4 linked regions of the Arabidopsis thaliana genome follow. The protein of the gene in region 1 interacts with the protein of each later gene in a pairwise test. Each region holds a gene or a part of one and is shown in the gene's direction. Other genes may lie near its edges. The genes, in order: AT5G37890, AT1G12440, CHY1 and AT2G27580.

Region 1 (7,755 bases):
GCTTTGATATCTCAAGGTCATGGAGGGGAGAGAGTGGCTAAGAGACAACGCTCGGCGACATTGCTAGATCTTGATATCCTCGATTGTCCTATTTGCTGTGAAGGATTGACGTGTCCTATCTTCCAGGTTTTGTTTCTTGTCTAAAAATTGTTTTTTTCCAGCTTTTAATACATATTTTTTTTCTTGAAATTTTTACAGTGTTTTTTTTTTTGTATGTCAGTGTGAGAATGGACATTTAGCATGCTCTTCTTGCTGTCCCAAACTGAGGAACAAATGCCCTGCTTGTGCTTTCTTTATCAGCCAATGGAGAATATTCTTGAATCGATATTGGTCACATGCCCAAACGACATGTTTGGTTGCACCGAGAGTTTCTTATATGGGAAAAAATCAACTCATGAAGAAGAATGCATTTTCTCTCTATGCTCATGCCCTTCATTGGACTGTGAGTACTCCGGCCGATACGAGGATCTCTATGATCACTATAAACTGACTCACATCTCGAACTCATACTGGACCACTAACTGCTTTAGATCTAGCATTCCATATAAGGCCCCGATGCTTATCAGCGATAAGATACAAATTACAAGGGTATATGAGAAGAAAATATTGTTTGCAGTGCAGTGTTTTAGGGAGTCGTGTGGTGTGTATGTAACCGTAAGCTGCATTGCACCATCTGCTCCAGAAGTTGGACAGTTCTCATATCAAATCTCCTACACTGTGGATGAACACACTATGGTTTACAGATCACCACAAATGAAGAGGGTTCGTAAAGTGAGTTTTGAAACACCTCAAGAGAATTTCATGTTGATACCTCACAATTTATTGCGTAGTGAATTGTTGGATATTAAGCTTTCTATCGTCGAAACGTCGAACCAAGAGTAAGAATGTTGAGGTGATATAGAACTAGAAGGAAGGAATGTCATTTTTTTACTCTCTCTATCTCGTCTGACATTTATATAAGTTTTGACGAACTAAGATCCGATGTAATTGCTTAACGGCTTGATTCAGCTTTGATGCAATTTGTTTGGTATTGCTTAACACGTTTTTGTGCATTTAGAGTGATAATGGAAATTTTGATGGAATCGACCAACAAAACATTTCACAGTTTTTTAATCTAATAACTTCTAAGCTATACTTTATGCATGACCAAATTGGAGTAATGCGTGCTCTTTCGTTTGTCATGATTATGGTCTCCATCTTTTATTCTACTCTTAGTCGAAATCTAATTATAAGTAAACGTACGAACGTGTGATGTCTAAAAGCAGAAGAAAAAATTTAGTTGTGAATTGTGATTCAATGATTAAAGAATTCCAATATGGTAGTTTTAACTGCAATTTTACATATTAGTTAAGAATATAAAAGCTAATACCAAAATTCTTAAATCTTTAGCAGAAAAAATAATAGCAAAAGTTAAAATAGAAATTTCCATAAATAGCACCATTTCAAGTTTTTGGAAAAAAATAGCACTCAAACATTTTTTGGACAAAATAGCATTCAAATAATTATTTTATTTTTAATTATTAAAATTAACAATTAAAAAAATTCAAAAAGTACACAAATTCATCATTTGGGTGAATGCTCTATGAATATGCTAACACAAACTTTTTTTTTATTAGCAATCTGCTACTTCTGCATAGTAATTGACCCTATTCAAAAAAAATGAACTATATAACTCATAAATTGTTAATTCTGCAAACGATATGGTTATTGAAATTATATTGGTTTAAGCATATACTAACCTATATATCTGTTAATTCTGTGAATCAACCGCCGATTTTTTCCTTGCGTTTCCAATAATATTTTCCTCAAGGTTTGAATTACTAGCTTACATTGTATAGCACTCCATTATCTTCATCATGTAGATATCGGACTCTTTAATCTTAGCAGTCTACCACCAAAAATCAAAAGAATTTTTAAACATTTAATTTGAAAATTACTTGAGGAATAGAGGTCAACACTATGATATATTAAATTTAGAAATTACCTGAAGAAAAGAGGTCAGGACTCTGATACTGAATGGAGTGACATCTATGTCGTGGAATCTTTCAAAGAATCATTTCCTGAATTTAAGAAAGATTCTACAAAATTCAGGAAGAGTTTTAGGAAAGATTTTTTTGTGAAATCTTTTATGAATTCCGTGAAATCCTTCCCAAATTTCGTATAATAATCTTTCCTAAATTTTTTTTATGGGAAACATTTGACGGATTTTTTTTTGTGAGAAAATTTTGACAAAAATCTTTGGCGAGAAATATTTAATTTTATTTATTTAATTAAATTAGTTATTTATATTAAATATTTAATAATTAATTAAAGTTTTGAGTGTAATTTTGGAACTATTCAAATGAGCTGCTATTTTTGAAGAAATTGTTTTTTTTTGCTATTTTTATCAATCTTCCAAGGTAAAATTAGTCTAGTGGTTTGTGATTGCCCCAAATCCCAACTTCAAAACCACATTTTTGACAAAAAAATAAATAAAAGCTACATAACTTTTAAAAATAAAAATTAGCTTATTAATTAATGTAGCAAAAAATACATAAACTATTAAGACTAAATAAATAATTATTATTGTATTTTGTAAAATTTAGACATTGTTTCTGTTATATATTATATGGGCCTTAATTGGGAATTGAAGAATTAAAAAATACATAAACTTTAAGACTAATATTAATTTTTAAATGGTTTTATATATATAATTATATTCTTTTATATTGTAAATATTAATAGACTTAAAAATTAGATATTGTTTATAAGTTTATCAAAAAAAGGTATTGTTTATATATTATATGGGCCTTAATTGGGAATTGAAGAACTATCGAAGCCCATATCATCTATAGTTTGTGCCATTGTCTCCTTTCTCTGTAAAACCATCCATCAATGAACAAAATCAACTAAATTCTCTATTTGCCTCTCTCAGTTTTCGAGAAGACTAAAAGCGAATTTAGGGTTTAGTCATCTCTCCGACATGGTTGGTGCCGCGATTTTGGAATCTCCCGGCGAAGGAATTGGATCTAACAGCATTCTCTCGCAAAAGAGACAACTTTCTTCTAGTGATGCAGCTAAGAGAGACGCTAAGAAACGCTCGACAATGCTAATGGATCTGGAGATTCTCGATTGTCCCATTTGCTACGAAGCTTTCACAATTCCCATCTTCCAGGTTTCGTAATTTCTCAAATTGAATCATTTCGTATTTTTCAGAAAGTTTCTGTTTTGGTTAGAACTCTGAACATAGTTGGAACTGTGGCCATTTACTTGATTCTAAGAGTAGCCTTAGCTTTTGAGGATTCTAGTGAACTTTTGAAAGTTATGTTAAAGAAATTGCAGAGAGAAGAAGTTGGAATTGTGCCCATTTACTAGTTACTAGATTTCAAGAGTGTCCTTAAGCTTTAGCTTGTGATGATTTTATAGAATTCTAGTGAACTTTAGTAAGTTATGTTCATGTATGCAGTTGTATATAGTTATTGAAAATATGTGTATAACTTGTCTATATCATGAATTATATGGGAGAATCATTTGGGGAGAGAACTATTATCCTTGGTCGATTCGATGAATATTATCTCGACGTTGTTATAGCTTTTGATCACAAGTTATTGGTTTTGAATTTCAGTGTGATAATGGACATTTGGCTTGTTCTTCTTGCTGTCCCAAACTAAATAACAAATGCCCTGCGTGTACTTCGCCTGTTGGCCACAATCGCTGCAGAGCAATGGAGAGTGTTCTTGAATCGATCTTGATCCCGTGTCCGAACGCCAAGTTAGGTTGCAAAAAGAATGTATCTTATGGGAAAGAGTTAACTCATGAAAAGGAATGCATGTTCTCTCATTGCGCCTGCCCTGCATTGGATTGCAATTACACTAGCTCATACAAGGATCTGTACACTCACTATCGTATTACCCATATGGAAATAAACCAGATTAATACGTTCATTTGTGACATTCCCTTAAGTGTCCGGATGAACATCAGCAAAAAGATATTGATTAGAACGGAACACTTGACGAATCATTTGTTTGCAGTGCAGTGTTTCAGGGAGCCGTATGGTGTGTATGTAACTGTAAGCTGCATTGCGCCATCTTCTCCAGAATTAAGTCAGTACTCATATGCTCTCTCTTACACTGTCGATGGACACACTGTGATTTACCAATCACCAGAGGTGAAGAGGGTTCTTAAGTTGAGTTTTCAAACCCCGCAAGAGAATTTCATGTTGATTCCCAACAGTTTATTGCGTGGTGATGTGTTGGAAATGAGGATTAGCGTCAAGAAGTTGAACAAAGAGTAAGAAGGTTGGGGTCTTCCTGTTAGAAAACTCTTATCTGTCTCGTTTTAGTTATCTTAACCCGCCCATAGTCGTTATGGTTGATGAGGGTTGTAATTTTAGAGACTTGGTGCAATCGACCAACAAAACGTTTCACAATGTTTTCAATCTAAACTAAGATATAATTTATGCATAGGCCATTTGCTATGAAGCATTGACGATTCCTGTCTTCCAAGAAGATTTTTCCATCTTTCTGATTCTTATTTCTTGATAACTAAAATTCTTCCAGGTTTTGGTGTTTCTTGTTATAAACTCTGTATTAGGAACAACGAAGTTGGAAACTTGCCCTTTTACTAGATTCTAAAAGTTACAAAAACTAGTTTTGTTTTGAGGATTTGAGGATTCTAGCGAAGTTCTACAAAATATGTTCAGTTTTGGAGTTGTAGTTCTTGAAAAGTGTGTATAATTTAGCAAGATCAAGTATATATCATGAATTATAAAAAAGGTTAGTTAAATATATATATATATGGAGGATGATATAATTAAGAAAGTATACATGGACATATAATTATATCCCATAGGACAGAAAAAAAGAGGTTGAAGAGGGAGATCGTCCTCACCAGAATCCATGGTTAGGGCCTCACCAGAAGAGGTTGGGTTGTCTGTTTGTGTTAATGTGTATACCAAATTCGGTTTTCCACCAATTTCCTCCTTACAAAATACACCCATTGAACTCATGGCTGCTAATATGGAGATTTGGATCGATTTTTGTGATATTCTTCTTCTCCTTCTCCCCTTGCATATATATATTAGCCAGCCATTTAATATAAAAACTTGTGAATACAACTAAGCTTTCTTTTGTTTTAGTTGAAAGCTTTTTTATATTCTTTGTTATAAAAAAGTCGTTCATTATTTTTTTTTTCTTTTTGTTTTTTTGTTAAAGAAAGTCGTTCATTATTGATTTCGGAGAGCTGTTCAATTATCAAGACTTCGGATTTTCCGGATCTTGTTTCTAACGATTGGAAGTTTGAAGAAGCAAGACTTCGAATCCCATCTAGGAACAAGAACATATCGTGACTTCACGTTGGACAACTGTAAAATAATAGTGTACAATACAATACATGATAGTATTTGTTATTACTTTAAAATTAAACAAGGAAAATACGACAAGTCTACAACGCAGATTAAGTTAAATATTTTTCTTTTTCTGCTAGTGATATGATTCTTCTCTCCAAAAGTATATCTCTCACACAAAACTTGCTTAGGTCTAAACAATAATCTTAAAATATTTACATGTATATATTTTTGCTAAGGTTTTTGACCAAAAATCCCTCACCTATTTACTATTTTCAATATTAGTCCTTACAAATTTAATCTCAATCAAATACTTTATAACTAAAAACTTACAATTAGTTGAATTGCATTAATTAGTTGAATCAACTCTTCCTAATTTTTTATCCTTAACTAAATTTTTTTTTATTGAACTATATTCGATTAAGGCTAATTTCCTAAAATCTATATATCAACATTAAATATAAATATATAATTTTTCTGTCATTATCTTTGTTTTTATATATAGCTATTTTAGTTTATATATAAAATACATATATTTAATAAAATATTAGATTTTTTTGCATCCGATAAAATTCAAATTTTTTAAAACAGACATATAATACTCCATCGATAAAAAAAAAAGTTTTAAAGGTCCCACATTGCTTAAAAATTTGGGACATCGTTAAGAGTCATACTATAAAAAATATTTAAGTGATTCTGAATACGAATGAGAAGGAACCTTGATATATCAAACATCCAAAATTAAAAGTATTGTTCGGTTTACTCCGGTTCTTTATTTTAAATAAGTAAAAGTTTTAAAGTTTTAAAATATTATATATATTTAAAATTTATTAAAAGTTAAGTATTACAATTTCTTAAGAAAATTTAAAAGTTAATAACTATAAAATAAATTTAATATTAATGATTTAAAAATTTTAAAATTTTATGAAGTTGTAAATTTTGTAAATATTTGAACTTTATAAGAAGTTAAAATATTATAAATACTAAAAATATATTAATATTGAACGATATATTACGGGTGAAATCCTATATGTAACAATCAATATACAATTATGAAGTTTGGTCCATATTAAAACTTTTTTGAAGTTTCTAATATTATAATTATTCGAACTTCATAAAAAAATGATAAAATGATGTTTAATTTCACGGGACGAGGTTATATGGTGGGATAGGTTTGGATCGATATTAATACGGAATGATACAATTATACAATTTTAAACACTAAAAAAAAATAGTTATAAAAATCATACAGAGGTGTATCATACTATCATACATAAAAGACAATAGCATGTATCTATAGATCATCCTAAAAACAATAATAATATTTTTAATTTAATAAAAATATAGACGTTTGATGTACCTCTTGAATATGTTATATATATAAACAATATTAATAAAAATAAAATATCTAATTTTCTAAGAAATATTTCAACCCTGGATGTACCGCGGGTCAATCTCTAAATAATACAAGTTAAAAAATAATAATAATAATAATACAAGTTTTAAATCTTTATTACCTCTAAAAAACCCAAACCATAAAAATAAATATTGAATTTTCATAATTAACTAACAAATATGAGAACATAAAAATGAATTATCGAAGCTTTACATAAATAAAAATTATGTGTTAAGAATATATTATTTATATACAATTAATAATTTTTAAAAAAATTATCTATAATTTTTTAATGAACATATCCACCCGTGGTACCGCGGGTTAATATCTAGTATATATATAATATAGGTTAGTAAAAACGTGCAGGGTCTATTTTACAAATAAGAAAAATTTCTAGACTTCTTAAAGACTTTATGATACGTGAGAAATATCCTTGTCGATAAGGGTGTCGATCGGTACTGACGTGGTGTCGATCGATACTGACGTGGTGTCGATCGACACCAACGTATGAATAATGTTTCTGCTTGTCTTCTTTTCCTGAAAAGCTTCCAAAATTCCTTATTATGCTTCATAGCTCTTAAAAGTAGATATGCACCTGTAATGACTAAAAAAGATACAAAAAAGATTAGAAAGACTATAAAAACCATTCTAATACTATGTTAGAAATCAGTAAAAACCATGATATATCTCATATAATTTATTGACTTTTATTTGGTAATTGTATACGTGTGTTAGATTATTGTTGTAAGTTGTTACATTATACTCTAATTGTTTAATTGTATTTTAAAATTTACATTTATTTTATTTATCAACCGTATTATTGTGTCCTTTCTTCAATATATGATTATGCACATCAAAATAACTTTAAACTTCTTTATTAAATTCCACAAGTGTATATATAGTAAATAATTAGTAATTAAATGCAATAATTTCTTACCATATTTTTCAATGATGGAAGAAATAGTAAATAATTTGAATATTGATCATATAAAGTATTTGAGTTCTTTTGATTAATATCAATTAGTATCAATATATC
Region 2 (6,989 bases), on another chromosome or scaffold:
AAATGATGAGATGTTATTTGGAGTAAGATAAATTACTTGTGAAGTAAGAATGAATGAGTTATTTTTAGGCAATGTTGAATGTTACATGGCTTATGATGAGATCATTGAGTGAGAGTAGGTTTCATTTTGTGAAATGCTTGGGGTTAATTCATTAGTTGAGGTCCAAATCAAACTTTTGGAAACTAATGGGTTTTAGAAAAAGGGAAGAGAATTAGAGACAGAGACAAGTGAGTGACCAAAAGTAAACGTCTTTCTGTTATTTGTTTGTTTCTGTAGCTTTTGTTCTCTCTGTTTTACTGAGTTTGTTTAATCATTTTGTTCTTCTTCCTTTTTTTCCATTTCTTTCTTGATTGTTTTGAAGATATTATTGTGGTTTGAGACTGGTGTGCAAGACATGGCTCATATAGTAAACGGGTTTGCTTTTTTTTTTTTTTAAGGTCTATCAGAGACTTTCATAGCAATATTTTCACTATATGAAGCCAGATTTGCTCCTTTTTTCGATGATTTTCAATACTTATGCTTAATTTTAAGATACGCTATATATTTTCTTCACTCGTTACATCATTATTCAGACCAAGTAATAAAAATTGCCAGGAAATTATTCCTTGTTAAATACATCAAACGTATCATATGATCCATATGAAATTGATCCAAACCTATCCATATGAAATTGAAGTTGGCGCAGTTGGTCCGACGGCCCAATAACGTGGCACTAAACCCAAACATCACAGAGGTTCTCGCGTTGACTACTCTGTCAACAAAACCGAAACAGATGACGTCATCATTGACACTCAGCATCGAAGTTAGCTCCAAAGATCATTTGATACATAAATTTCATGGAACATAGGAGGACACACAGTCTTCATGGATCATTTTTGTTTTTACTTTTGAACAAAACCCAACAAGACATTGTTCCATGATACATAAGGTGGATTATATGCAAGGAAAGAAAAAGACTTAGATGATCTAATAAATATACATTGGAAATTTTCAAAATTCAATTGATACATATCATATATACAAGAGAAAAAGACATAAATATTCATTTTCAAATGAATAAGAATAACAAAAAAAAAAAAAAACATTATATATTATCAATTTCAAGATCGTGTTAGATGATGGTATGTTGTGGTCATGGTGAAAAGAGTTAATAAAGTATTGGATTTTGTAATGTCTCTACGTCCTCTGATTGCATCGCACTTAGCTTCTTCTTCGCATAGATTGTGCAGACTATAGTCGCGCTCGCAGTTACACAGAAGCCAAGAACATTCACGACTATCTCCACAACCGAAAGTGTGTGTCTCGTGTCTGATGCAACTGCTAGTGTCCTTAGCATTATACCCCTGCAAATATCCCAAAACAGAAAACCACCAGTCTTAAGATTCTGCAGAACATGCCTTAAACATTGAGACAAGAGACATAGAGAAAGAGAGAGAGGCATGTACGTGTAAATTGAGACAAAGATCTCAGGAACCATTCCAACAAGAGAGCCTAAGATATAAGGACCATAATGAACTCCAGTCGCTAAAGCGCAGTAGTTGTAAATGATGTAAGGAAATGGAGAGACACGGATTAGTGTGACTGCTTGAAACTGATGAAACCAGGTTCCTTCACCAGCAGCTCTAAGTATGGCTGCTTTTTTAGGGTATTTCTTCAACCATTCCTGCACAAATGACAAGAAAGAAAAAAAGTCCAAATTGATCATCTCATGGTACAAGCTTAATAATAAGTATCCGAACAAAGAGTATGGGATGATGATGCTTACTTGCATCTTGTGGAGGAAGAGATGTCCAATTAAGAAAGGAAGAGTAACACCGATGGAAGCAGCTGATAAAATCAGAAGAAACCCTTTTCCATAACCAAATGTAAGACCAGCCATCCACATGGAAGGGGAAGAAGGAAGAAGAATGCTTGGAAACAATGCCACTGAGGCAAATAGTAGAAGACCGAGAACCGGTATGCTGAATGTGTTTCTCACCCAATTTATAAATGGAATCAGCTCCTGAAACAAATCACACCAACATTAATGATGATAAATGAATAACCTTCCTTATAAACACATACTCATACATGTAATTCAAGAACCCTAATTTTCAACAATTAAAAACCCAGCAGAAACCAGAATCATTATGCATACCCTAATCCAATCAAATGTAACCAATAAGCATCAGATCTTCGAGAGACAAAAAAAAAACGAACCTTTTCAATCAAAAAGGGACCAACCCATTTGATGATAACAAAGGCCAATGAACCCAAACAAACGACCAAGGAGATCAATTTCACCCAGAACCAGACAGAAGTAACCGATCCTATCGGACATCTCGATGATTCCGCCGATGATCCTTCATCTTCTTCATTTGATCCTCCTCTCAATTTCAGATAATCACCATTATCGGAATCTTCTTCGACTCTCAATTTCAGCTCAGGCACCGTCCCATCGACGCCATTGCTGTACGTCATAGATCGATGCGAAGATAAAACCAAAAAAAGTGAATCCTTTTGGCTCTAAAAAAAATATCTCAAAAGTTTCCGTCAGAATCGTTATGCACCTCTGTTTGTTTTCCTTCGGTTTCTCGAGAAAATTAAACCGTTAGATCAAATGTTGTGTTGATCGGAGAGAGCGAATGGGGTTAGAAGAAAGAATCTTTATTATTCGTTTCCGTTCTTAGCTTTAAAAACTTTTAAAAAATGATATCCTTATAATTAGGTGGTTTAGTTTCAACTTATTAAACCGGTGTCGTAGTCAAACATGTGGAGACATATGAGTGGCTAATAGCTGTTGCTCCGTCACGAACCACCGATAAATGTGTAAGCAGAGTTGCTTTAGACCGGCGCTTTATTTTCGCTTTGCCGTTACGGTGCGTACATACATCGTACTGACAGAAGAAATACGTAACATATTTAATTATTGAAATTTAGTTGCTTGAAGGCAATTTATATATATTACGGAGCATAACATAAAAGAAAACGAGAGGATCGAACAAGAGAATGAAACGCAACCAAAGTTGATACTTGTAAGCAAAATATAAGAACAAGACTCCCTGTAAAAATGAACATATCGATAGATGATATATAGATTAGATAGCTACGTTTTGAAGTATTAATACCATACCAAAGAGGAGCATAAGAACTAAGAAGCTTATGGACCCTATAAACAATTCACAAACTATATCAAATTTAATTTGGTTGTGGACCTTATGGTCAGTATTGGATCCAAAAAAAAGGATGCAGTCGCGAGTGAGAGTCGCTTGCTAATATAACGTCTTGAATGATAGCGTTCGATGATTTTGGATTTCGATTAGTCGTTTCCAAACCAGATAAATGGAAATTGAATTAGTCTCGATTTTAAGGACAAGCATAAACAAATTATAGCTCAAGATTAGATATAGTGGTGTCCAAAACACTTTACGTAAATTAAAACGATTTAGTCATGTTGATATTTGCAAGTAAACTCAGTGAGAAAAGACCTGACCACTTTTAAAATCCGGTCGTTTTAGCGAAGAAAAGAAAGAGATAATTGAAAAGGCCCAAGGAAGAAAGAGTACATTTGGAACAACATATCATCACATTCCGATCAAATCAAAAGAGCGATGGACTAATCGCGTCGGGACAAACGCGCCACCTTTTTTCTTTATCCTACTGTTACGTCACCGTCCAACCAGCTAAGCATGTCCCCACAAACCAAACCCGGTTCATATAAAACCGATTATCTTCACGAACTCGAACCAACTTTATCGTAATCCACAAACACCATAAAAAGTTGATAACCCCACCCATTTTATATCCACTTTATCTCATCAAAAAACTTCCAATCACCACCGTTGGATTAGTAAACAATGGCGTCATCACTCTCCGATTGTTTCATCGAACGAATATTATCAGGGATGTATTAAATCTTCCGTGCGCCTTACCGCATATGAATAAACCATTTGACCACAAAGACAAATGCAAAAGAACTAAAAGAGTCTGGTTTCTGTTCTGTCCTAATTTCTCTCTGGCGAAAGCTAAGAGGTTTCGGTTACGGTCTCCATCTCCGATCAAATCACGAAGTTTCTATCGGAAATTTTCAGTGATACATACCGTCAGAGATTTTCTTTACGAGAGAATTGTCGCCGACATACTAAAGCAGAGTTTTGGGTGGGAATTAGGTAAATATCTTATTGGTTTTGTTCTGTGCCGATATGCAGATTTGTGTTCTTCGTTTGAATCCTTCATCTATTCTTGAACCATTCGATTTAAGTTTTTGACGGCGAAGATTAAACAACTCTTATCTATCTCTTTTTTGTCCTTTTTTGCGCCGGAAGGGTAAAGTGGTCTTTGTGAGATAGACGCTGACCTGGTCTTAAGTGTTGACAAATGACGCATTTACTCTTCGACTTTATAAAGAGTTCCAAGGGTATTTTAGTCATAAATGAGAAATAATTTTAGTCTTTCTCGCTTGAGAAACAAGCCAAGAATCTCCGTTTTCTAAATCTTTCGATATTGTCAATTTCCCTTTATTTTCTCGACGGAATCATAAATAAAAACCCTAAACCTAAAGTCACAAATTCATTCTTCATCTGTTATTCACGATTTGTGTTGTCTTTTCTTTTGCAGTAAGATTTCGACTTTGGAATTGGGAGATCTTTCCATTATGGGTTCTGAGCAAAACGACAGCACAAGCTTCTCTCCTTCAGAGCCAAAGCTCTGCGTCAAAGGATGTGGCTTCTTCGGATCTCCATCGAACATGAACCTCTGCTCTAAATGCTACAGAGACATCCGAGCCACGGAGGAACAAACCGCTTCCGCTAAAGCCGCCGTCGAGAAATCTCTAAACCCTAATAAACCCAAAACTCAACCACAACAGAGCCAAGAAATCACTCAAGGCGTCCTCGGATCTGGATCGTCTTCCTCATCAACGAGAGGGGGTGATTCGGCTGCTGCTCCGTTGGATCCACCGAAATCGACGGCTACGAGATGCTTGAGCTGTAACAAGAAAGTTGGCGTGACGGGTTTCAAGTGTAGGTGTGGAAGCACTTTCTGTGGAACTCATAGATATCCAGAGAGTCACGAGTGCCAATTCGATTTCAAAGGAGTTGCGAGAGAAGCTATTGCTAAAGCTAATCCTGTGGTGAAGGCTGATAAGGTTGATAGGATATGAATTGGTGAAGAAACTGTTGTGTTCTCTTTTGTTTTTTTATTTTCAAGTCTCGTGATGTTGGTGGTTTGGCTCTCTGTTTTCTGCTCTTATTATGGTTTTATTTGCTTTTAGGGTTTCTTAGGAAAGGCCTTAGATTCTGCTATTATGTGGTTTCATGTTTTGCAACATTGGATTTGTTGTTCTGTAATAAAGTGTTGGTTATATTATGAAATTGTGTTCTTATTGGTACCAGCTTACTTCTTCTTACTTGGAGAAGTTGAATTGTTTGCAGATATAGGATTCTCTTGGTTATGAGGCTTATGAACTAGTTGGGGGTCGTAAATAGCTTATGGTGGATAAAAGTGTGTAGCTTGATAGTTCTGAAACTAAAGATGTCGTATAGAGCTTATGGTGGATTCCCCTGGTTTGTTTATAGTGGACGAACAAGTTGGGGTTTGTATATAGCATTATAGCTTATGGTGGATAAAGTATGTAGCTTGAAATTTCTGAAGCTGAAGATGTTGTTCAGGGTATCTTTATCGAGTCATGGAAGATTTAGATGTGTCTTTAGTTTAGGTGTTAAGTGTCCTTGATTGAATGAGTCATTGATTTTGCTTTCTCTGTCTTAGCTGGAGAAAGTAGTGTTCTTCTTACCTGGACAAAGTTTGATTCACTTAAGAGTTGTGGGACTTAGAGTAAGTGGAGTTTTTATATAGCTTATGGTGGATCCAATGAAGTAGTCAAAGTAGTTTACCTATATCGAACCATGGCAGATTAAGAGATGTTTAGGTGATAGTGCCCAGTGATTGAACGAAATCAGTGATTTTTGCCTGGTAGTGGCAGTATGCTTTGATAGCTTAAGAAACTTTAAAGACTTGAGGCTCGGTTTTGGCCATGATCGATTTGTTTGAACTAGTTGGGATATTCGGTGTTGTAGTCGATGACTGTAGATTGAATACATTCTGTCGTTTGTGTATACATATTCCCTAGCAATGATGCTCATAAGATTATTTCCCTGTGCTTGTATGATCTTCATCTCGTTGGGGTTATGTTTAAAGTGTAACCCATCAAAAGTTTTTAGCAAAAAGATGGAATAGTCAATGCCAATGCAGATCTTTGAATGGTGTGTATTGAACAATGTCAATATCCACAATCAAGTGCACTAGTTGCATCTGATCTATTTTTATAAAAGAAGTATCCATCCAAATTTTTTATATACTGTCTTCGCATACAACTGATTTTGATCTGAAATTTCACTAGATGAAACTGGATTTGATTTTCAATACGGTTTCTAAATTGTCTAAACTATGAAAAACTGTAACAAACAAAAATTGATATCAAAACTTAAGACTGCAACCGACGAGTTGAGGTAGACTATGAAATGATAGAACATATGTCCTTGGTGTGGGTAAACTGTTGCTTTCACTTTCACTTTCACTTCTTGATGGTTACATTACAATATTGGGTCCATTTTTCGGATCTTATCAACCAATTTACAAAAAGCAAAGAGAGAAAAGCAGTGCACTACAGTTTTCTTTATAAAACTTAACAAATGAACATGTAGACTTTTAGTTTTCAACTGTGAAACATGTTTTGTACTTCTTTGCTTTAGGCTTTATTATTTTTCTTTCTTATACATGAAAAAATAGTGGAACAATGAAGTACTTACTGCGACATTGCAACCTTTGGAAAAAACCACTTTCAGGCCATGATGCAATATCGAATGATCTGACGTTGCATCAGTCGTATAACCTTTTGTAATTCATAGTTTTACCCCTAAAAAAAAACAATTTTATATGAATTCAATTTTCGATTTTAAACATAAATTTTCGATTTTGGACATTTTACATGTCTAGAATATCTCCCCAAA
Region 3 (8,604 bases), about 11 Mb from region 1:
GATCTCTTCAGCCAAGCAATAATTTGAAGGGAATCCTGAACTCTCTTTGCTTCTGAAATTGTATACCGTGTGTACTCTTCATCCGTTATACTGCAAATACATTAGAATTCATACTATTAGAGATGGTGGTAGCATAATTAGTTTTCTTTTACATAGATTTGTGGGATGAATTATGAACAACTTACGAGTGAAGTGTAATAGCTTCTCCCTTCTCAAGCAACTGAGCGAACTGACCCACATAGACTGAAGGAGTAATAGATGCAGAGCTGCTATCAATCTCTTGAGCTATTTCAGACATTGACAACAACAGTTCCAGGGCAGATTTCTTATCCTTCAAGTAATGAGCAGCCAACTGCGTGTAAAACGAAAATTTCCCAGTGGATAAGAACATATTATATTTTCAACATACTGTACCTAGGAACAGACAGCTCAGAAATTTATGAGAAAGAGGACGAAAAATCCAGCATTTGCTTAGAGGTAGGTGTTTAAGTTTATGTAGTATTGTTTTTAACTAAATGGTAAAAGACACAGAAAAGATTTAACACAAAATGCACCACCAAGTTTAGATATGTTCCGACTATGTGTTACATAGAGCAGAATTGACTGACCTGATAATAATAGGCAGGGTAAAACTCAAACTCAGTCAAAGATATTTCCGCAGTTCCTTGGTTTGAGGATGTTAAGCTCTGACCAGTTGCTGAGCTTGTCTCCAGCAACTCAGCAAAGACAAGAAACTGCCTACTCATCCAGTCCCAATGGAGAAAAATAAATTCTGTGGATCCGACAACCTTTTCATATGATGTTTTATGTTGATGAAACCATGTCACTGCTTCTATGAGTTTTCCACCATGCAACAAAAGCGTTGATATCTTGAAATGCAATTGCTCAGCTATGATTTTGATCTCGACCAAGCGTTGTATTGCAGGCAACCTAGTCGATGTCCCGATCATCTGTTTGCATAAACAAAATTGCTCGTCGAAATTGAATGTGTGGAAACCGCAGGCAAAGATATGTAATAATAAGAAAGCAATGACCATATATGCATCAAAAGGAACTTCTTGACTAGAAGCAGAATACATATTAGCGTGACAGATGGGTTGGGAAAAAACAAAATACTTAGAGATAATAAAGACCTCGTGCAAGGAATGGTATGCGTCTTCATAAAACTTCAGTGCTTCACCCCAATCTCTACGAAACTCTGCATATACAGCGACCTAGCAGTCATGGCATGAATGAGCCTTCCTTTTCCCAGATACTTTGGAACAAAATGATTAGACTTAGCAGAGGTAACGAGAAAAGCTTACTTTAAAACAGTAGCGAACATTCAAATCAAGAGAATTGGAACTCCTTTTCTCAATTCGGCTTTTGATTCTCCGTCCTTCTTCTCTGTAATAAGAAAGTGCCAACTCTGCAAAAGCAGAAGCGAGTCTGCAAACATACCGTGTTGAGATGCATTGAAGGAAAAGCCTCTTGTTCTAGGTGCAAAGTAAAAGAGGAGAGAAACATACCTGGAGAGAGAGAGCGTGAGTTCAGAGACTATGCTGGAATTGAAGAAGAGCACGTACTTAGAATCTAATTCTGCCCGCTTTCGCAATGCCACCAGACGATCGTCGCTAATGTCCTCTAAAAACAAGTCGGGAAGGAGTAAGTCACCAGTAGTTCCGAGAGGAAAATGAAAAGAATAATCGGATAAAATGCGCTACCGTGGGGAGAAGACTGGACCACGACAACCACCAGTTTGATGTTTTTGGGACGGATTACGGATCTAGCAAGCAATTGAGATCGCAGTGTTAATTTGAGGGTTTGAAACAAAGGAGGGGAAACAAGGAAACAAATATAAAGGGAGATGAGGAAATACTTGAGGCTGTCGAGATCGGAGCAGACCTGTAGCCATTGAGTTGGATCGCCGAAGATGTGATGTGAGGGAAAGAAGGCGGCGACAAGTGCAGGGACCTTGGTGCGATGCTTAAGCAACCAGTCCCGTTTCAAAATACCGCCGCATCTGGAAGGAATGGGAGAAGCAGAATCGGAGACGCTGAGAGGATCTCTGAAGGAGGAGGTTCGGCTGATCTGATCATCATGAGCAAGGAGGAGAGAGATTTGAGAGAAGTCGGGGAAGGCCAGAGCGTTGATGGGAGGCTGCTGGGAGTGGAGATACTTAGTAATGGACGCGTGTAGCTCCGCGTATCCGAAGAGAGCCACCAGACTTACCGGTGGCGTCCTGAGCTCTTCCGGGTATTCCTCCATCTCGCCGGGGAGTGTCTGAGACTCGGACGCGTTGAATCGAGCAAGGAAGGATCTGACACATTCATTTTACGTGGGCTTTTAACGGGCCTTTGGATAAGGGAATGGACTTGTATAGCTGTCAGATTGTTCATCTGGCCCAGAATATGATGTGAAATACTTAATGGGTTTTCAACGGGCCTTTAATCTTTAAGGGTATGAACCACTGCAGTTGTCAGATCTGATTTAAACTAATGTGGTTTCTAAGGATGTAGTATCATCAGGCCCATTATAAGCCCACTTCTTAAAGATGCATCGACTCGTCAAAAAAATAAAATAATACAAAGAATTCGAATTGGTTGCATATACAGAAACATTGGATTTTACAAAATGGAAGAAAGAATTATTGGAAGAGAATGAGAAGCTGTCAAGCGGAGGAGCGGTTGATGAAGTCAATGCAGTCTGCAATTGCATCGGCGTAGAAAGAGTTAGAGCGACGTATAGATGTGTAATCAAGACCGTCTTCTCTGACCAGCGGAGGCCTTCTGCAGCACCAGCTCCTGAGAAGCCTGAAAAAGCTTCTCACTCTCGCACGCAGTCTCTTTGTCTTCTGCCTCAGCCTAATTCCTCTTCCACTCGGCCATCGTATCCTTGCTCTTTCCATCTTTCAACTCTGTTGCATATGCGTCAGATTGTTGAGTTTTCATGTATATGCAAATTATCTATATATCGAGAGGCGAGGGCTTTCATGTCTGACTTTTAGAAGTGGTTGTTGAGAATTTTTGAAGACTTTTTTAATGATTGATCTGGTGCCCACGTGTCATTTTATGCTAGAGGGAGGTGTTGGTTAGTTGGAAAACTAGCTTCCTAACAAAAAAAACACATGTCTAACGTACTCGATAAAAACATATAATCTTCTCATTCATCAAGCATGTTGCAAGAGGGCTTTGAAATTGAGTTTGAAAAGCAAAGTTCCATTTGCTCTATTAACAAAATAAAGCCCATTATTAAAACCAACAGATTACTATAAGGCCCAATATCAACTTCCTAAACTAAGCGGGTGAAGATTTTGTTAGCCATTAGTGGTAATTTCTGATCCCATTGCTGCTCCTCTCTCCGGAGATACAAAGGCGAATCTGACCAGTAAGAAAGATGGCAGTCGAGATGGCCTCTCAGTCTCAGGTCTCTTTCTTGCGTCTTTAATCCGAATCTACGACGATCAATTCTTCGCTCTCTGAATTAATAATATGATCACAGGTTTTGGTGGAAGAGAAATCGAGTGTTAGAATCTTGACACTAAACAGACCAAAGCAGCTGAATGCTCTGTCCTTCCACATGGTATCGAATATTTCCCTTCTTGTACATGCGTACTGTATTGGCTTAGACTCATTTTTTTCTGTAGATCTCTCGATTGCTGCAACTGTTCCTTGCATTTGAGGAGGACCCTAGTGTGAAACTTGTCATCCTAAAGGTAATCATTATCCTTATCTCTTCCGCTTACACACATTTAGTACTGAATAACTTTGCCACAGGGTCATGGGAGAGCCTTTTGTGCTGGTGGCGATGTTGCAGCTGTTGTTCGTGACATCAATCAAGGTTTACCACCCATTCTTTTCTGTTTCTTACTTTCAGCTTTTATACACTCTTTCTCTATCTTCGTTCGTTGACTAGGTAACTGGAGACTCGGTGCCAATTACTTCTCATCTGAATACATGCTCAACTATGTTATGGCCACATATAGCAAAGCTCAGGTCTCGCTATAATTTCGTTTTGTTTTTGTAAAATCACTCCCGAGTGGATAAACTCATCAATTCGTATAGGTTTCAATCTTGAATGGTATCGTCATGGGAGGCGGAGCTGGTGTATCCGTCCATGGTCGATTTCGTATTGCAACTGAGAACACGGTAATCTTTCCTTAAACATGTCCATGGATGACAAATAGGTCGCTCCAAAATATGCTCATATCTTTCGACTTTCTCCAAGGTTTTTGCCATGCCTGAGACAGCTCTGGGGCTCTTTCCAGATGTAGGCGCCTCCTACTTCTTGTCAAGGCTCCCTGGTTTTTTTGGTAACAGAAGCTATATTTCCTTTTTTTGCATCTTCTTAAAGCCACCAAAGTTTGAAAATGCTTTCTTGTCTTTTTTGTTCAGGGGAGTATGTTGGCCTCACAGGAGCTAGATTAGATGGTGCTGAAATGCTTGCTTGTGGCCTTGCAACTCATTTTGTGCCTTCAACGGTATGAACTTCCTTTGCGTGCGTCTATTTCGTAAGACATTCTGAATTGACTTTACACATCAGATATTGTATAGCTACTAGTGTCAAGCACTATCTGCTTCACCAAGGATTGCTACTTAGTTAGGTTTACTCCTTTCCACAGAGGTTGACTGCATTAGAAGCAGATCTTTGCAGAATTAATTCAAATGATCCAACTTTTGCCTCAACAATTCTCGATGCATACACCCAGCATCCGCGCCTGAAACAGCAGAGTGCTTACCGCAGGCAAGTCTATATGATTTTTATCTCTTTTACTCTTTCTACTAGTATGGTTTTACCTGATTACATTTTCTCGGTTATTGACCATGATTATAACACATTTTTTCTATAATTTCAATTTCGTATTGCTGTCAGGTTTTCAATCGCTCTTTACAGAACTCATTTCTCATCTGATCTTTAATTGAAAATTTATAAAAGTGCAGAGGACAGTTATTTTTTATCTCCCCGTTTGTTGCGCAGGTTAGATGTTATTGATAGGTGTTTCTCAAGGAGAACAGTCGAAGAAATTATATCTGCACTTGTAAGCTTTTCATTTATATATAGAGATGTTGACTTGCGATCCTGAGTTGACTGATTTACCTTTGACAACGCACTCTACCATCATATGTGTTGCTTAGGAGAGAGAGGCCACTCAAGAAGCAGATGGTTGGATCTCAGCTACCATTCAAGCATTGAAGAAGGGTTCACCAGCAAGCCTTAAAATCTCTCTTAGATCGGTTAGTTCCCAGAATGTGCATCACAGGCAATGTTGACAAAGAGCTGACTGTGAGTATATATTTCAGATAAGGGAAGGGCGATTGCAGGGGGTGGGGCAGTGTCTTATCCGCGAGTATAGAATGGTGTGTCATGTGATGAAGGGAGAAATCAGCAAAGATTTTGTGGAGGTTTTGCAAGCTTTTTCCATCTGAAACCGTCTTTGTTGTAGACCGTAGTTACAACAGCGTGTCTTTACTTATGCAGGGGTGCAGAGCCATATTGGTAGACAAAGATAAGAACCCAAAGGTTTAACAAGTCTCTCCATTTGTTATTTGTGGTTGGTAATATGTGACATTGTTGATAACAATATCTGAAATTATAGTGGGAGCCAAGGCGACTGGAGGACATGAAGGATAGCATGGTGGAGCAGTACTTCGAGAGAGTGGAACGGGAGGATGATCTAAAGCTTCCGCCAAGGAATAACTTGCCTGCTTTAGGGATCGCAAAGCTGTGAAGTGGAGAAGGTGATGGAGCACTATTGTTTACGTCTGTGGGAAAGAAAAAAGAAAATAAATGTAACAACACTTGTGTTGAATAGGACTTGCATACATTACATAAATCATTATTGTATTTGAGAATTGACACCAAAGCAGCAGAGCAGAATTGTGTTAAGATTTGTTAATGGTGTTGGAGGCACAACCATGGCAAACGGACGTGGAAGCACGTCTATAGTCATTGTTCATTTATTTGATTGAGATTCCTCCTTGGTCTCATCTTCTGAAAACGAAAAATAATTAGAAAATCAGGTGAATCGTGAAGTATTGAATGAGAAGAGGCAATTAAAAATCTCCCGTGACTCTCGTCTCCCCATCTCTCTCTCTCCCTCTGCCCAAATTTCTGGGGCAAATTTGTTCATCAGATCTACTACAATCTCTCTTTTTCTTCGGGTATGGAGGGCCAACGAGGCAGTAATTCTTCGTTGAGCTCTGGCAATGGCACCGAAGTCGCCACCGACGTTTCTTCTTGCTTCTATGTTCCCAATCCCTCTGGAACCGATTTCGATGCCGAGTCGTCTTCTCTTCCTCCTCTGTAAGTCTTCTTTGAATTTTTAAAAACATTCACTCTCTTGCTGCTGTCTCTGTTGATCCTTCTTCTTTGAAAATTTGAAAACATTCTTAGTCTCTCGCTCTGTCACAGCTCCCCAGCTCCTCAAGTGGCATTGTCAATTCCTGCGGAGCTTGCCGCCGCCATTCCCCTCATCGATCGCTTCCAGGTTGAAGCTTTTCTGCGGCTAATGCAGAAACAAATCCAGTCTGCTGGGAAGCGTGGCTTCTTCTATTCCAAAAAGTCCTCTGGCTCCAATGTCCGCGAGCGCTTCACATTTGAGGATATGCTTTGCTTTCAAAAGGTTTTTCTTTCCCCCCCTTTCTTCCCCATTGACAATCCATTGACTGAATATGTCTCTCTCCCCTTCCTTCCTTCAGGATCCAATCCCCACATCTCTCCTCAAGATTAACAGCGATCTCGTCAGCCGTGCTACCAAGTTGTTTCATCTCATCTTAAAATATATGGGTGTTGATTCATCTGATCGATCTACGCCTCCCAGTTTAGATGAACGCATTGACCTCGTTGGAAAGCTCTTCAAAAAAACTTTGAAGCGTGTTGAACTCAGGGACGAACTTTTTGCCCAAATCTCCAAACAGACTAGACATAATCCTGACAGGCAATACTTGATCAAAGCTTGGGAATTGATGTACTTATGTGCCTCCTCTATGCCTCCTAGCAAAGATATCGGTGGATATCTATCTGAGTATATTCATAATGTCGCACACGATGCAACTATTGAACCGGATGCTCAGGTTCTTGCTGTTAACACTTTGAAAGCTTTAAAGCGCTCTATCAAAGCTGGTCCTAGGCACACCACACCTGGTCGTGAAGAAATTGAAGCCCTTTTGACCGGTAGAAAGCTCACAACCATTGTCTTCTTTCTCGATGAAACTTTTGAAGAAATTTCATATGACATGGCTACCACAGTGTCTGATGCTGTTGAGGTATCTTCTTGCTTTCTTTTTTCATAATTTACCGCTGATCATATTCTTGTCCCTTTTTCTCTCACTGCATTGACATCTGTTTCAGGAGCTAGCTGGAACAATTAAACTATCAGCTTTCTCTAGCTTTAGTTTGTTTGAATGTCGTAAAGTTGTTTCAAGTTCTAAATCATCTGATCCCGGAAATGGTATGCTTTCATATGACTGGCTTCGTCATATATTGTGAAGTAATACAACATTATCGATCATTTTTCTATCTGTGCACTTGCAGAGGAATATATAGGATTGGATGATAACAAGTATATTGGAGATCTCCTCGCAGAATTTAAAGCTATTAAAGATCGAAATAAAGGAGAGATACTACACTGCAAACTGGTATTTAAAAAAAAATTATTCCGAGAGTCTGATGAAGCTGTAACAGATCTGATGTTTGTGCAACTTTCGTATGTTCAAGTGAGCATTTTCTTCATTGGTGACATTTATTTCCACACAAAAGGCTTGCCTTTCGTTGCTGACACACATATATGCAGCTGCAACATGACTATTTGCTAGGAAACTATCCTGTTGGGAGGGACGATGCTGCACAGCTTTGTGCCTTGCAAATTCTTGTTGGGATTGGGTTTGTCAATAGTCCAGAGTCATGCATGTTAGTTTTCTTAAGCTCCGCCATTGACTTTATTTTAGTTGTCCGATACTTTATTTTTCCAATTTTCCTCCCTTAACAATATCATTTCCTTTCTCAATGTATCACATATCAGTGATTGGACATCACTTCTTGAGCGGTTTTTGCCAAGACAAATAGCAATAACCCGAGCAAAGCGTGAATGGGAATTGGATATCCTTGCTCGCTACCGTTCAATGGTAGGAATAGTTCTATGCATTTTGATTGTCTTCCCCTTTCTAGATACCTTTGGCAAATAAAAACCCATTGAAGTGATGGCATGGTAAAATGATATTTCGTATGTGTATGTGGGCATGTAGGAGAACGTGACCAAAGATGATGCAAGACAACAATTTCTACGGATACTGAAGGCACTGCCATACGGGAATTCAGTTTTTTTTAGCGTACGCAAGATAGATGATCCGATCGGTCTTTTACCTGGGCGAATCATTTTGGGTATCAACAAACGTGGGGTTAGTCTCAATATAAATGTTATACATTATGACTTTAAAAAAACTGTTATTGTTGTTTGGAATTCAAATCTATGTTGTTGGATTTGAATTTGTTGTTTGCTTTCTTGTAGGTTCACTTTTTTCGACCGGTTCCTAAAGAATATCTGCACTCTGCTGAACTACGTGACATCATGCAATTTGGCAGCAGTAACACTGCTGTCTTTTTCAAAATGAGAGTCGCTGGTGTTCT
Region 4 (6,740 bases), on another chromosome or scaffold:
TTGCTGTACATAATTTAGGGTTTTACAAGAGAAATTGAAATTCTCTCGATTTGAAATTGTGATTCCGAATTGATTGAATCGGTGATGATCAAGGGTTAAAGGAGCCTTGAAATTGTGATAGGAAGATTCCGAATTGGAGACGAAGATCGGAGGAAGGAGATGGAGAAGAGAGAAGAAGGAATGGATTATGCAAAGCGATGAAGAAAAAAGCTAGATTTGACGACGAAGACGAAAAGGTCTTGAAAACAGCGGAGCGTAGGTTGGTAGAAGAATGAAACGGTGAGGCGTTTTTGGAAGTTGTGAAGAATTGGCTCAATGTTTTGATGAATGATAACGAAAACGCTTGCCGTTTTTTAATATATGCTTATTTTTTCCAATAATTTTGTATTAAATGGTTTGAAAAAGAAAACAAATTGTATTAAAAAGCAGAAGAAAAACAAAAAAATCCACGTAGAGAGATACATCAAAATCCCACCATTCAAATATATTAAGTACAAGGTCCTTCTAATAGGAGGCAAATTTGAAAAAAAATTCAAATAGTGACAATATAAAGCATGACCATGATAAGTTTTCTTGTTATCAACCTTAAGAAAACAAACTAGAAATATTATTTCAAAAACAAACCTTAACATCAACACAAATTAGTAAATCTACTTTGAATGCAATTGTAGCAAAAAATAGTGACCAAAATTAAACTTGCAACAAAGAACATTTAAGTTGCAGAAAGGACATTCCTTTTATTCATTCAAAACATTTGGAGTCACTTGTGCACATTGCAAACGCAAAGACCGGAGTTTCAGCAGCGAATCGTAATTGTCAACCAAAGCGAACAGGTTCTATTGATACCCAACTAGCAAGATTATTGATTATGTCTCAATGATAAAACGAACGAATGAATTTTTCACTAGTTGACAATGCATTAAAGAAAAAAGGAAATTTTCAAGTTCAAAGAATATGTTCATTAGTGTGGAAGCGATTAGGCAATACAAAAATGGTAATATATTATTGTCTTAAACACAAGATAATCAATAGTTATTGGCAAGAAACACATATCTTCAAGTAAGAAATACATTATCCATCATAAACTTATAATAAGAGGAGATCATTGCAAGATCTATTGAGATTTTCAAAGTACTATTTGTTACCTATGCGTCTAGTCATCTCCAACGAAACACCAAAACACTATTTTAGGTGATAATTAACCAAGTTTTTCTAAACCATAGTAAAAAAAAAAAAAAAAAAAACCCCACATGATAAATACCATCCGAACCACTAAAAACCGGTATTTGACCCAAAAAAAACACTAAACCGAGAGCAATAGGGCCTACGTGGCATAGTTTAGGGCACTCTTCAGTCTAAAGACACACTAAACACAAAGTCAACGCTTTTCTCTTCTTCCTCGACTGCTCTGCTCTGCTCTATTCTCTGGATTGAGAATTTGGACTGAGAACGACGACAAATGGGGAAACGAGAGAAAAAACCTAATCGACGTCGCCACAAAGGTGAATATTCGAATGATGCTGAAGATTTCTACGATCAACACCCGCCGGCTGTTGCCTCCGTCGACGAAGAAGATGAAGAAAACTCTGACGAAGAAGAAGAAGAAAATGATGGAAACGAATCATCGGATTTGCCTTCAAAGTTTCTCCTTTACCAACAATCCGTTCAGGTAACTGCAATTCTGTGCTTGGCCTTCTAAGTTTCATTGAGTGGTTCTTACTGGTTTTATGAAATCAGTTAAAAGTACTTAAATTTTCTTAGGGAGAGAGTTCTCTGTATCTCTTGTATAAAGAAGCACTAAGATTTAACAAATTGTATTGTTTGTGTTTCACTGTTCTTGTTCTATCATCAAGCACTAAGCTTTAACATTTGTTGTTCTTGTCTTTTCATTGCTTTTTGTTTGTTGCAGTCACCAAAAGGAGACATAAGTTACTTGCAGAAGTTCTTTTTAATGTATGTTGGTGGAAGACAACCTTTCCATTTCCAAGAAGATTTCTGCGGCACTGCTCTTTTAAGGTTGTTGTGTGTTTCACTAAATGGTACAAAATAATGTAGCTTTTGGTTTTCTTGCTTGAATAAGTTTTTACATTGATTGTTGGAATAGTGCGGAGTGGCTGAAGACTGACACTAGACGGACTGCTATAGGGCTTGATTTTGATCTTGAGGCGTTAGAATGGTGTATGGATAACAACATTAGTAAACTTGGTTCTGACGTGTATTCAAGAATGTCGCTTTTCCATGGGAATGTTTTAACTCCTCTTGAGGCTAAGCAAGTGAAATCTAAATCCCATGAGCTGATACAAAATATCAGCTTGGATGATGGTGATGATAATGAAGATTTGGCTGATCCGAGTGTTGTCGAATCTTTAGAGAAAGATGGACCTGATTCGTTGCCAAAGAGGGATATTGTGTGTGCTTTTAATTTTAGTTGTTGTTGTCTCCACAAACGCTCGGAGTTGGTTTCTTACTTCAAGAATGCACGTGACGCTTTGTCTAAGAAAGGTGGTATCTTCGTGATGGATTTATATGGAGGTGCTTCTGCTGAGGGACAGTTGAAGCTTCAACGGAAATTCCCTAATTTCACGGTAATAGTTCATTCTTGTACTTCATTCGGTAAAAAAGGGTGTCAGAGCCATAAATATCGAACTTACTAGAGATAACCGTACTAACGATTGTCCATATTCATTTGGCAGTATACATGGGAGCAGGCTGAGTTTGATATTTTAAGCCGCAAGACAAGGATCAGTCTGCACTATCACCTTCAGAAGCAGAACAGAAAGATTCGCCATGCTTTTTCATATAGCTGGAGACTGTAAGTGTCCTGTAGTCTACTTCCACATCCATTCTTTCTTCAAAGTGGGACAGTCATTACCCACAATCTCCCACAAGCCTTAAGAAAATATTACAGTTACAAAAAAACGAAGCATATTTGGTACTTAGGGGTTTGCTTAGCATTTTAGATAACTTGATAAGTGTAGGCTTTTGGTAATTTTGGTTGGCTGGGTGAGGTAGAGATTCTGTAGTGCAGCCACTATGGATCAAAACTTACACAAACATGTGCTCGAATGTTACTGATATCTAAATTCATATGTTAGTGACTTATCCTTGTGTTGGCTGGTAAGTAGCAGTGAAATGATATTGAATGTTATATTCGGGCAAGACAATATTCCTGCTTTCCTTATTGTCTGTAGATTTATTGTACTTGCACTCTTGAATCATTAAGTTCCTGAGAAGTAACTCCTGGATCTGCTGTTCATATATGTGTAGGTGGTCATTGCCGGAGATAAAGGATTGTATGGAGGAAGCTGGGTTTAGCTCAGTCCATTTCTGGCTCAGAGAAATGCCGGACGCTTCTGAAATGCGTAGAACAGATGGGTTTGGTGCTGGACGTGATATCAAGTACGAACAAGTCAAGAGCTTTCAACAGTGTGATTCTTGGAATGCTTACATTGTTGCGGTCAGCCTCTAGTTATGCTTTCTATCTTTTGATCAAAAGACACTAGCCCTTTAACTCAGATCCTTTGTCGATTTTACATCTAGTATTTATTTCTGACACGCACTGGTTTAGTTTCATGATTTCAATATTATTTTTTTGTCGTCTCATGATTTCAATTATCAAGCACAAAATTGTTAAAATGAATAGTGTAGGTGCTTCTGGAATCTTCAACGCTAGCCCAAAAGCCAAATAACACCATTTTCCACAAATTGTCCAATTTCCATCTTACGGCCAACAAAAAAAAGAGTAAAATAACAATTTAATTTTGTATCGATTGCGTCGTCGTTAGTTTTCCCATTTCCTCATAATTCTTCATCTCTTTCCTTTCTCATCTCTCGATTCCTTTCTTTCTTTCCATATTCCATTGATTTCTCTCTTCTTATAAAAATACAGATTCTCTCTTCTTAGAACCATCACCGATTCGAACAGATCTAATAAATCGTTTTTTTCACCAGGTAATGACTTGTTGTTTTCGCCGATCCATTAGTTTTTTCTTTCTGTTCTATAGTTTTGATGAGATTTAAGCAACAGATCTATTGATTTTTGATTCCATCGATCGGTTAATTTTGTAGATTTTTTTCGCCGGAGTTTGTTTTGATCCATTCTGTTATGGCGGAAGAACACAGACTTCAAGAACCACGATTATGTGCTAACAATTGTGGCTTCTTCGGAAGCACAGCTACACAAAATCTCTGTTCCAAATGTTTTCGAGATCTTCAACATCAAGAACAAAACTCTTCCACCGCCAAACATGCTCTTACCCAATCCTTAGCCGCCGTTGGCGCTGCTGCGTCTTCCTCCGTGTCGCCACCGCCTCCGCCTCCAGCTGATTCGAAAGAAATCGTTGAAGCGAAATCAGAGAAACGAGCGGCGGCTGAACCGGAGGAGGCGGATGGTCCGCCGCAAGATCCGAAGCGGTGTTTGACTTGTCGGCGGCGCGTGGGAATCACGGGGTTTCGGTGTAGGTGTGGTTTCGTTTTCTGCGGGACGCATAGGTACGCGGAGCAACATGAATGTTCGTTTGATTTCAAGCGGATGGGGAAGGATAAGATCGCTAAAGCGAATCCGATTGTGAAAGCTGATAAGCTTGAGAAGATTTGACTTTGTTGTTTGTTGTTTGTTGTTGTTGCTTTGGTTTTGTGCGTTTGAATGAAACACACATGAAGAAGAAAGAGCAAGAAACAAACATGTCAATGTAAATTTAAGCTTTATTTGATGATTTCTTCAGTTTGGTTATTAAATTTGCTTATTATTGATTTGATTGTTCCGTTTGATGATCTTGTAGAAGGCTTAAGTCGTATTATCAATGTGTAGAATTTGGATTTGGTTGATTGGTTCGTCATTACATTAGCCATTAGCCAATATGTAGAACAGAGAAAAGCATGACAACAACATAGGGTAGTCTTATTACAATGCATTGGAGAAAAGCACAAACTCAGAATTTCAAACCAGAATTTTGAAGTTTCTCTTGGATGATCATGTCGATTTTGTTCTCCATTTCAGGAGTCAAATAGTTCTTCCAATCACCGACTTCTCCTTTACGGAAAAATGTTTTGTTATCTCTACCTTCACATAATTTTCCGGTCTTATTGATCTCCAAACTGCTTAGATTACGTAGAGAGCAAAGATCTATAATCTCATCCACCAATCCGTTCTCTTCTTCTTCCTTAGTAAAGGAGAATCTAAGAACTCAGCAAGTCTCTTGATCTGCTCATGAGGTTCTGCTTTCATCTCCTCAAACCTCATGAAAAGGACATGATTTGGATCTTCCAAGCTTCTTCTCCAGTAGCTTAAGACTTGGTCCCAAAAAGGCCCAAAAAAGTTGACTCCCTTACAAAAAGACTCGAACGTTTCCTCGAAACTGGTTTTTACGTTATCATCATTAGAAAAGAAATGCCAATATTAAACCAATGTGTCTTTCATGTTCCTGCAAATATACACAACTTTACAAGTAGAATCTTTAAGCACTTCTTGCAGCGTATGAGACGGCATGTGTGTCGAGAACAGCCTCGGAGACGATGAGAACTTGGTCAGGTCCGGTTTTTCGCTATAGTAATTGAGATTCATTTTAAGTTAGGGGACAAGAACGTGCGGATTGTTAGAAAGAAGGGGATGATGATGATCATGAGAAGGGTGTTTTGATCTATGCACTAGTGAGAATGTAAGTGCCTTGAGCCAAGTCGTGCCGCATTTAGGGAACGAAGCAACGATGATATTGGTGTCTTGAGGCTTGAAGTTTTTCTGGAAATTGAGGACAGCTTGGAGAAAGTGGTGAGTATACCAACATCCTTGGTACTTACAAACATTTATCCCAGTGGAATCTTTGTCTGAAGGTAGTGAAGAGATGAGAGTCTTTGTTTCTTCGCTTAAGTCATCGTTTCTCAAGTTGACCGCCATTTTTTTATCATCCATTACCAAAAATTGTGGTTTAGGACAGAAGCGGAATGAGATAAGAGGTCTCAACGAGCCTTCAGCATCTGAAACGGGAGCTTTGGTTCTAAAGCGAACAACACTTTGTAAATCATCATTATGATTGTGTTGTTGCAATACGCAACGTTTTCAATCAACACTTGTTTGTTTATTTGTCAATTGTTAACGTTTTCAATCGACACTTGTTTGTTTATTTGTCAATCGTTATGGACTTATGGTTGCTAGGATTTGTTGTCGTAGTTACGATTTAGTTGTAGAAAATTCGTATTTAACTTTGCGTTATTGACTTATAGTATCTTTTCTGCGTTAAGTAAAAGTATATCAAAACATGAATAAAATAATGAGTTTATAGGATTGATTTTCGATAACTTTATGAAAGTAATCAAAGCCGTCTTAGCTCAGTGGTAGAGCGCGTGGCTTTTAACCACGTGGCCGTGGGTTCGATCCCCACAGACGGCGATCATGGTAATTTGTCCAAACAAATTTTTGGTGCTTGCAGCCACCAATTACTTAAGGACGACTACCATTATACAACTATATCATAATTTTGAAAATAAGGAATATCAGGTATAATTACATTGATAATACTAAAAATTAACATCCATCAATATGAAAATAGACCATGCATGAGATTATAAGCCAAGTTTATTCAGATCACAAACAGTTCATAACAAATACACACATAAATATGATAGGAAAAGCTGTTTCCCGTAACTAAAATATAGAATGCATGGAACAACACATATTGTCCGGGCACAGCCAGAGTTAGTTAGGGCAGCTGCGGCAGCGGTGGAAAGTCATTCAACGGCGTCTA

What was found.
Region 2: the proteins of AT5G37890 (region 1) and AT1G12440 interact in a two-hybrid assay, tested with the Arabidopsis thaliana proteins (one large-scale study listed by BioGRID).
Region 3: the proteins of AT5G37890 (region 1) and CHY1 interact in a two-hybrid assay, tested with the Arabidopsis thaliana proteins (one large-scale study listed by BioGRID).
Region 4: the proteins of AT5G37890 (region 1) and AT2G27580 interact in a two-hybrid assay, tested with the Arabidopsis thaliana proteins (one large-scale study listed by BioGRID).

What each region holds. Positions count from the first base shown.
Region 1 is NC_003076.8:15,087,030-15,094,784, reverse strand, and holds AT5G37890 (Protein with RING/U-box and TRAF-like domain), read left to right. Parts: upstream 1-2,829; 5' UTR 2,830-2,962; coding exon 2,963-3,154; intron 3,155-3,604; coding exon 3,605-4,273; 3' UTR 4,274-5,107; downstream 5,108-7,755. Other genes in the region: AT5G37900 (TRAF-like superfamily protein), read left to right, coding at 1-126, 301-882. UniProt on the Arabidopsis thaliana protein: E3 ubiquitin-protein ligase that mediates ubiquitination and subsequent proteasomal degradation of target proteins.
Region 2 is NC_003070.9:4,239,967-4,246,955, reverse strand, and holds AT1G12440 (A20/AN1-like zinc finger family protein), read left to right. Parts: upstream 1-3,754; 5' UTR 3,755-4,148; exon of another isoform or gene 4,149-4,596; 5' UTR 4,597-4,633; coding exon 4,634-5,140; 3' UTR 5,141-5,535; downstream 5,536-6,989. Other genes in the region: AT1G12450 (SNARE associated Golgi protein family), read right to left, coding at 1,148-1,343, 1,446-1,663, 1,766-2,002, 2,200-2,460. UniProt on the Arabidopsis thaliana protein: May be involved in environmental stress response.
Region 3 is NC_003076.8:26,373,933-26,382,536, reverse strand, and holds CHY1 (beta-hydroxyisobutyryl-CoA hydrolase 1), read left to right. Parts: upstream 1-2,855; 5' UTR 2,856-2,868; exon of another isoform or gene 2,869-2,919; intron 2,920-3,289; 5' UTR 3,290-3,375; coding exon 3,376-3,405; intron 3,406-3,480; coding exon 3,481-3,561; intron 3,562-3,625; coding exon 3,626-3,694; intron 3,695-3,755; coding exon 3,756-3,819; intron 3,820-3,894; coding exon 3,895-3,974; intron 3,975-4,043; coding exon 4,044-4,127; intron 4,128-4,206; coding exon 4,207-4,291; intron 4,292-4,373; coding exon 4,374-4,459; intron 4,460-4,600; coding exon 4,601-4,722; intron 4,723-4,956; coding exon 4,957-5,017; intron 5,018-5,114; coding exon 5,115-5,213; intron 5,214-5,279; coding exon 5,280-5,381; coding exon of another isoform or gene 5,382-5,405; exon of another isoform or gene 5,406-5,457; coding exon 5,458-5,499; intron 5,500-5,575; coding exon 5,576-5,707; 3' UTR 5,708-5,927; downstream 5,928-8,604. Other genes in the region: AT5G65950 (trafficking protein particle complex subunit-like protein), read right to left, coding at 1-90, 186-352, 609-950, 1,134-1,214, 1,305-1,428, 1,509-1,623, 1,704-1,765, 1,859-2,247; ZWI (kinesin-like calmodulin-binding protein (ZWICHEL)), read left to right, coding at 6,143-6,282, 6,373-6,601, 6,678-7,244, 7,330-7,429, 7,513-7,694, 7,772-7,887, 8,000-8,102, 8,223-8,375 and 1 more. UniProt on the Arabidopsis thaliana protein: Involved in valine catabolism. May be indirectly involved in benzoic acid biosynthesis and in cold signaling and cold tolerance.
Region 4 is NC_003071.7:11,774,497-11,781,236, reverse strand, and holds AT2G27580 (A20/AN1-like zinc finger family protein), read left to right. Parts: upstream 1-3,683; 5' UTR 3,684-3,951; intron 3,952-4,068; 5' UTR 4,069-4,105; coding exon 4,106-4,597; 3' UTR 4,598-4,827; downstream 4,828-6,740. Other genes in the region: SKD1 (AAA-type ATPase family protein), read right to left, coding at 1-11; AT2G27590 (S-adenosyl-L-methionine-dependent methyltransferases superfamily protein), read left to right, coding at 1,460-1,669, 1,910-2,016, 2,105-2,585, 2,694-2,812, 3,268-3,469; AT2G27570 (P-loop containing nucleoside triphosphate hydrolases superfamily protein), read right to left, coding at 4,932-5,097, 5,142-5,350, 5,405-5,521, 5,579-5,908; ATC (centroradiali), read right to left, coding at 6,728-6,740. UniProt on the Arabidopsis thaliana protein: May be involved in environmental stress response.